Danio rerio: one gene and its partner. The protein of the gene in region 1 binds, or shares a complex with, the protein of each later gene. Links are inferred from orthologs where the notes say so. Each region holds a gene or a part of one and is shown in the gene's direction. Other genes may lie near its edges. The genes, in order: arpc1b and arpc3.

Region 1 (3,831 bases):
ACTCATATTAAGTGTTTTATCCATCCTAAATAGTGCAAACACGGACCTGGAATGTGATTTTTGGGATGTTTAGGGATATTTGGGATCTTTATTTAAAAAATAAATAAATAAATATGCTTAAAGTTTAAAAGTCAATGATATCATGATCTTCACTGGGGACACAGAATGCACTTAACAGAAATTATGATTTAGCATACTTCTAGCATATTTATGTGTTTAACGTGCTTTAGTACATTGGTATTATGCTTTTAGCAATATTTAGCATTTTAGCAAGAATTAGCATTTTACTTACATGTTTTTAACATTTGATTAGCACATGTTGCTAGCATGATTTAGCATGTTTCCATTGGCTAATTGGTAGGCTCTGCCATAGATAATTACATTAGATTTTGTCCTGTTGTTCTATTAGAAGGAATATGTCAATAGAGCCGCCATTTTAGTACAGGGTAGCACTCCTTTGAAATGGTGCTCTGTATGCAAATTTTCTTTTAAATGATGAAAAATATCATTTACATCAGGGCAACGCAGTGGGGCAGTAGGTAGTGCTGTTGCCTTACCTCAAGAAGGTTGCTGATTCGAGCCTCGACTGGGACAGTTGGTGTTTCTGTGTGGAGTTTGCATGTTCTCCCGGCGTTCATGTTGGTATGCTCTGGTTTCGCCCACAGTCCAAAGACATGTGGTACAGATGCATTGGGTAGGCTAAATTGTCCGTAATGTATGAATGTGAATGAAAGTGTATGAATATTTCCCAGAGATGGGTTGCATCTGGAAGTGCATCCACTGCGTAAAATATGTGCTGAATAAGTTGGCGGTTCATTCTGATGTGGCGACCCCGGAATAATAAAGGGACTAAGCCGAAAAGAAAATAAACTTTTCAACAATGATGGAAAAGTGACCGCACAGTTATTGCTAACAAAGACCATGTGTTTGTGTACATGGAAATGTATTATCCTCCCTGTTAAATTTGATCTAATCCATGTCCTGAAACACACCCCCTCTCCTGCTTTCACTTTTAATTATAATGGTGAGAGCGATTTGTTAGTGAATGAATCTTCCTGTTATGAACAATTTGTGTAACCATCCATATCTCTGCATCTCAATGTGCATATCCACCTTTCTGATCTAAATGGTATATAAAATTTGTTACATTCAATTATTTAGGGTAGACAGTATGCACATTGAGGCGCAGACACTTATGTAATCAGGCATCCTTATAAGTTACTTTAAAAACTATAGCCATTACTTCACTTAGCATACAATAAAACAAGTTTCTGGCACTGCAGTGTCTTTTTGACATATTTCATTTACATTGCTGATTTTATTCAACAAAACTAGCATAGTCCTAGAAGTGAGTGCGAGTTGGTACTACTTTGCCTTGTGGACAGTGCAGTAAGTGACTGTATTATCATCAATTCTTGTTTAGCACAAAAGTTCACAAAATACAAAAATATAAAAGTTACACCCATACACAGCGCTAAATCCAGCATTGTCATATTGACTTTAGTCTAACTAGTGCGGTTGAATGACTTCTGTCCTGGGAGCACTACATATGGTGGCAGTATTGATGCCACATCCGTATGCGATATCTAGTGTAAATTTCTATGAGGCTTTGGTAGATAGATGAATGGACGGATGGGTGGGTGGGTGGGTGGGTAGATAGATAGATAGAGAGAGAGAGAGAGAGAGAGAGAGAGAGAGAGAGAGAGAGAGAGAGAGAGAGGGAGAGGTAGGTAGGTAAATAGATAGACAGACAGACAGACAGACAGACAGACAGACAGACAGACAGACAGACAGACAGATAGATAGATAGATAGAGAGAGAGAGAGAGAGAGAGAGAGAGAGAGAGAGAGAGAGAGAGGTAGGTAGGTAAATAGATAGACAGACAGACAGACAGACAGACAGACAGACAGACAGATAGATAGATAGATAGATAGATAGATAGATAGATAGATAGATAGATAGCTAGATATGTCAGCTATTTGTTTTAATGAATGCAGAGTTTGTTTAAATGAATGCAGAGAAGCAGAATGTGCTGGCCAAGGCCAAAGTCACACACGTTGTAGTGACATTTCAAGTTAGGAGTTAGAAAATAGCAAAAAGATCTCTTCTTTCCCACCAGAAATGTATCTTTCCTGGAGTTTGACACAAATGTGAATGTACGTGCACTGAGGGGAATAAAACGGATGACAGATTTTTTTTTTTAGAAAACTGAGAGTCATTTTAGCAGATTTCCACGACAATAGATTCCACTAATAAACACTGAATAAACTAGTAGCAACTAATAAAATATTTAGACTGTTATCCAATTAATCAAGTCAATGTATGTTTGTCATAGTCTTGCTTTGAATATTTTATCTACTGGATTCCTGTCTCCTTCAGAAATTGCACTGTGTCCTAATAACCATGAAGTGCACATCTACAATAAGGCAGGAAACAACTGGAACAAAATCCACGTGCTGAAGGAACACAATGGCCAGGTTACTGGTAAGTTTAGAAGGTTCATCCGACCTACACTGACACAGATCATTTATGTGACCAAATCTAAACTAATCCAAATGGTTTTCTCATCAACACCAAGGCATTGATTGGGCCCCAGAGAGCAATCGCATCGTCACCTGCGGCACTGATCGTAACGCATACGTCTGGACCCTGAAGGGAGACGCATGGAAGCCTACACTGGTCATTCTCAGGATCAACCGTGCTGCCCGCTGTGTGAAATGGTCTCCGAAGGAAAACAAGTTTGCTGTGGGCAGCGGCTCACGTCTGATCTCTGTGTGCTATTTTGAGCAGGATAATGACTGGTGAGTATCAGGCAGGAGAAATGGATATTGAGCTTCTTCTGACAGAAAAGAACTGACTGATGGTGGTTAATCTACTTATGTCATGAGGCAGATGGCAGATTTGGCTCTTTTATTTTTAAATGTTTTTTAAAGAGTTTAAAACACTGCTTGGTTAAAAGCAGGAATGATGTGGCTAAAATGGACAATGGAGGATGCTAGTCATTTCAAAGTAGATATTTCATTTGCTGAGGCTTCTATATAGGAGAAATCTGGCTCATAGATTACATGTTAAATATATCAGACTACATATCGGCAATATTCATTCATTCCTTCATTTTCTTGTTGGCTTATATCCCTTTATTAATCCGGGTCGCCACAGCAGAATGAACCGCCAACTTATCCAGCAAGTTTTTACACAGCGGATGCCCTTCCAGCCGTAACCTATCTCTGGGAAACATCCACACACACACACACACACTCATACTCATACACTACGGACAATTTAGCCTACCCAATTCACCTGTACCGCATGTCTTTGGACTGTGGGGGAAACCGGAGCACCCGTAGGAAACCCACGCGAACGCAGGGAGAACATGCAAACTCCACACAGAAACGCGAACTGAGCCGAGGCTAGAACCAGCGACCTTCTTGCTGTGAGGCGACAGCACTACCTTCTGCGCCACTGCTTTGCCATATCGGCAATATATCAGACTATTCAGAATGATAAATCTAAGACATTTCACATGGCAAATTTTGTACAATCCTTCACTAGTTATTATTAATGTACATTTTACACACAGCATGGCCAGTCAATTTGGAACTGTTAACATTGGTGAAATAATAAAAGACAAAGAAAGACATGTTGGGTCTTAGGATTGGTGGAATTCTTAAATTTATCTTTGTTTTTACACAAGTTAATAATTGTACAACTTCCTCATTTTTTTAATTACTGAATGAATCTTTGTATGAGTCAGTCGAATAAAATATTTCATGCATTCTGTAATGTGACGGATGCTGACAACTGAGTTGAGGATCTAAATGCAGGGTTTAT
Region 2 (4,478 bases), on another chromosome or scaffold:
CTTGAGCTAAGAGCCAGTTCACACTTAGTTTCTTTATATTTTGTCATGATTTCATTGTTTGAAGGATGAAACAATAACCTGTGCTATGCAGAGTTTTATCAAATATTGTTCATTTTTAGAACTGTATATTTATTTTTGCAATAAAAAATATGGAAATTTCAAATGTGTTTTATTTTGCTCAAAATCTTCTTGTTACATTTTATCTTTGAAGTGTAACAACTTTAGAGATCTTTTCAATACTATAGTATTGTTACAATATAGTTAAAACTATAGTATTTGAAGATTAAACCAGTGGGTAAAACTAAATGGTAATTAAAAAGCACCTTGGTTTCTAAACTTTTACAGGAAATAAAGCCATGGTTTGTTTTGGTAACAGAAGACATTGATAGTGACGTTCCTTAAATTTCCAGAATAGTGGTTGATCTTGGTTATTTATTCAGTGGCTGTTAAACTTTTATATTGAACCTTCCAGTCTTGAATATTTGATTTGAACCTTGTTAATAGGAGGTAGGAATAGTTCACGCATCATTTACTCATCCTCCTTTTGTTGCAAACCTATTTGAGTTACTTTCTTCTGTTGAACACAAAAATAAAAGATATTTTAAAGAATGTTGGAAACCCTGAACACTGGAACACTGACCTCATTTCTGGGTGAACATTTTATTAATTGATAGTTTACCCAAAAATGAACATTGTCATCAATTACTCACCCTATACTTGTTTCAAACCTTTGAGTTTATTTCTTGTGTTGAACACAGGAAAATTCATTTATTTTCCTTCGGCTTATACCCTTTGTTGGTCATTGGTTACCACAGCGGATTGAACCACCAACTTATTCAGCATATGTTTTACACAATGAAAGCCCTTCCAGCTGCAACCCACTACTGGGAAGCACCCATATACTCATTCACACACATACACTACATCCAATTTAGTTTATTAAATTCACCTATAGTGTTTAGACAGTGATGGGGAACCAGCGCACCCGAAGGAAATCTACGCCAACACAGGGAGAACATGCAAACTCCACACAGAAATGCCAACTCCCAGCCGGGACTCGAACCAGCACCCTTCTTGCTTTGAGGCAAGAGTGCTAACCACTGAGCACTTTTTTTCCCTGTGGATGTCAATGTTTACAAGTTTTAATTTTTCTTCAAAATGTCCTTTAGTGTTAAACGAAAGAAACTCAAAGGTTTGGAACGACTTGAGGGCGAGTAAATATAATTTTTTGTGTGAACTAAATCAAATCAAATCACTTTTATTGTCACATCTGCAGCAGCATCATCTATGGTGAGTGAAAAGCTTAACTAACCCTTTAAATCTAAAATACTAAAACTGTGTAATCTTTTCGACTGTCGTGAGGTGAAAATACTTTGCGCATGGAACGTTTTTTGAATATTCAATGGATATTTTACTGGATAATCTCTGGGGGAAAGAGAGACTGTAACCGTTACCTTTGGCGCCCTCCAGTGGTTTTGGCGAGATATTGTACTGGAAACTTCCTGTATCGGTGAAGGGTGGGACAGGCGGAAGCGACGGCTTGCAGCGCTGACATATTCATTTCTGCCTGCTAGGTTTGGGACATATTGTACCAAAATGCCGGTAAGAAATATTCACACATAACGATTTACACCACGAGCGCCATTGTTTGCTTTATAGGCGGTTGTGCCACGTTATACGTTAGAGCAGCGGGGAGCTAGAAAATATTTAGCTCTATTAGCCGAAGAGCTAATGTAAAAATCATGATACTCTCATCGTTTTTCCACAAATTTGACAGTTTTACGAATTTATTTATTTATTACATGTTTGAGTTTATCAAATGATCCCAAATATAAACATAGAAGTGTCAGAAAATGCGTTGTTTAAAACAGAATTGGTGAATCAGGTAATGTTGCAAACAACTGGATTTCCTCACTTAAATTAACGTTGTGATTTTTTTCTGTAAATATTAGTCCTTTTTAAAACAAATGTTTGCTCCGTCATATTGAAAAAAAAACATTATTAGTCTTGCGTTTTATGTCATCTTTCACTCTTTTTAGGCTTATCACTCAGCCCTGATGGATGCAGACACCAAACTGGTGGGCAATATGGCATTACTGCCCCTCAAAACACAGTTTAAGGGTCCTGCTGCTAGAGAAAGTAAGACAGGATTTACTTTTGTACTATTTAGGATCTAACAGTTAACTTACTTTGAGATATGAGATGTGTTTAACTCTACCTTAAATGGTCATTAGTAAAGAGTGTCTGACAAACCAGATTTCCTTCCTGTTTTTTATTACCAGCTAAAGACACAGACATCATTGATGAGGCCATTTACTACTTCAAAGCCAATGTTTTCTTCAAGAACTATGAAATAAAGGTAAGGAGCAAATGACCGTGCTGGAAGCGTGAAGGAGCCTGAAAAATGTACTTGCGTGCCTTAACCTGCATTCATAGTTCTGCGCTCAGAGAAGAATTAATATTCACTTTGTATTCGAATTTAAAGGCATGGTTCTCTCAATAATGAAAATTTACTCACCCTCAAGTGTTTCCAAACCTTTATGAGTTTCTTGCATATTTAAGAAGATATTTTGAAGAACAATGTAACCATTGACTTCAAAAGGAGACACAAATTCTATAAGAGTCAACAGGCCCGTAGCCAGCCTGGTGAAAGGGGGGGGGGGGGTCTTTTTTACAAAATGTGGACCTTTTTGATGTTATTCGCCTTACGTTCTATTTAATTCAGTGACATTTTAAGCCCTAGTTTTAGCTAGATTGTTGGGTGGTCATCCTAACCACACTTTTTGATGTACCAAAATATTTTCTAAAGATTTACAATACTGAAATAAATACTGAATAAAGAATACTTATCTTTAAAATACAAATGTATTACATTAGAACAAAAAAATAGGAATCTGTTGAAGTTTTAAATTAAAAACTAGTCTATTGTCATTTGTTAGGCAAATAACAAACTGACCAGTACATTCAACTTTGCTCTGTCAGAAATTTAAAATTATTATTATTTTAAATAATTAAAAATTTAAACAGTAATTACATTTTTGTTTTAAGAATAAGGTCCCAGATTTAGAATAAAAGTTACTGAAATGTTTTCTCTATTTAACAATACAGTAGCAAAATATGAGTTCACATACATTAGATTGCATGTTTTCTTGCATAGATGGATGTTGGAATCATGAAAAATAAATGTTTGCATTGACCAAATAGATTAGCTGAAGTCACACGATGTGATGGCCAGCAGAGCGTTCTGCTTGATCTTAAAGCTTTTCGATGGGTTATTTTTACTATTTATGATGACATAGCAGTCAAAATAGGACAAACAAGCCTAAGCCTATGTAGCAAATTGTGGACCTTTGTCAGTGGGTCTTTCGAACCTACTTTTTTTTTTTTTTTTTAATCTATATCCTCTTTTGTAAGAAAGTAAGTCAAACAGGTTTTGAACTAGTGAAGGGAGAGCAAATGATGGCATTATTTTACGTTTTGGGTGAACTATCCCTTTAAACTGTGTACCTATAAACTGTATGTATGCACATATTATTTACTTCAGTTTATATCAGATTTTGAATTTGTTGGATTTTTGATTGAAAGGGATGGCTCTGTGATAGGTTGCACATCCTCATAAGGGCTCAGCATTAAGCCTTGATGTCTATGTTGGTCACTAAACGGAAATGAAAAAGATATTTTAGTTGATCTTTAATTTGATTTCCAAGGCAGTGTTTTCATTTATAAAGGCCATTTTCCCCTAACTGTATTAAATGTGTGCTTCATTTTAACACAATAAGACATTGTCAGGCTGTTACCAGTTTGAGCATCAAAAACAGTCATCTGTCCACTGGCATTTAGATCTGTTTACACAGACAATAATAAAGCTCAAGTGCATGAATGCATCTACATTGCAAAGTTACTACTTCAGATATGTTATGTTTTTAAACCCTTTTAATGCGCAAGTTTTGAAAAGCTACATTCCATGCACTTGTTGTAAAAAAAATTCTGTCTTTTATGTTTACTTTTTAAAAAAATTATTGGTGACAAAATAAAGTAAAAAAAAAAAGCATAATTAGCAGTTTTGTGTCTAAAAATGCCATGTATTCTAAATCTAAATCTCTATAAGTGTCGTGTGTAAAAGTCATGTAATATCTACTTTTGTCATGTCATATATTTATAATACACATACATACATACATACATACATACATACATACATGCATGCATACATGCATGCATACATACATACATGCATGCATACATACATACATGCATACATACATACTTTCACTTTCACTAAAACATTCCTATACAAGCAGTGAAGTAAAGCCCTGCTCACCTCAAATTAAACATGAATATTAAATTTGAATAATGTTGCTAACCCAAAATATACAACGGAGGTCAATTAAAATCTCGTTCGCTTTACTAAAGGAAGAAATTCAAACAGGTTTGGAGTAAACTGTAATGAATAATCATGACTGGGAAATGTACATTTT

What was found.
Region 2: arpc1b (region 1) and arpc3 share a complex: the UniProt entries of both Homo sapiens proteins name them as parts of the arp2/3 complex. The link is inferred for Danio rerio from reciprocal best matches to the Homo sapiens genes ARPC1B and ARPC3.

Annotation. Positions count from the first base shown.
Region 1 is NC_133178.1:39,766,667-39,770,497, forward strand, and holds part of arpc1b (actin-related protein 2/3 complex subunit 1B), read left to right. Parts: intron 1-2,379; coding exon 2,380-2,484; intron 2,485-2,578; coding exon 2,579-2,801; intron 2,802-3,831. UniProt on the Homo sapiens protein: Component of the Arp2/3 complex, a multiprotein complex that mediates actin polymerization upon stimulation by nucleation-promoting factor (NPF).
Region 2 is NC_133196.1:18,449,380-18,453,857, forward strand, and holds the start of arpc3 (actin-related protein 2/3 complex subunit 3), read left to right. Parts: upstream 1-1,561; 5' UTR 1,562-1,596; coding exon 1,597-1,602; exon of another isoform or gene 1,603-1,804; intron 1,805-2,039; coding exon 2,040-2,139; intron 2,140-2,282; coding exon 2,283-2,359; intron 2,360-4,478. Other genes in the region: protein FAM216A, read right to left, coding at 1,455-1,561. UniProt on the Homo sapiens protein: Component of the Arp2/3 complex, a multiprotein complex that mediates actin polymerization upon stimulation by nucleation-promoting factor (NPF).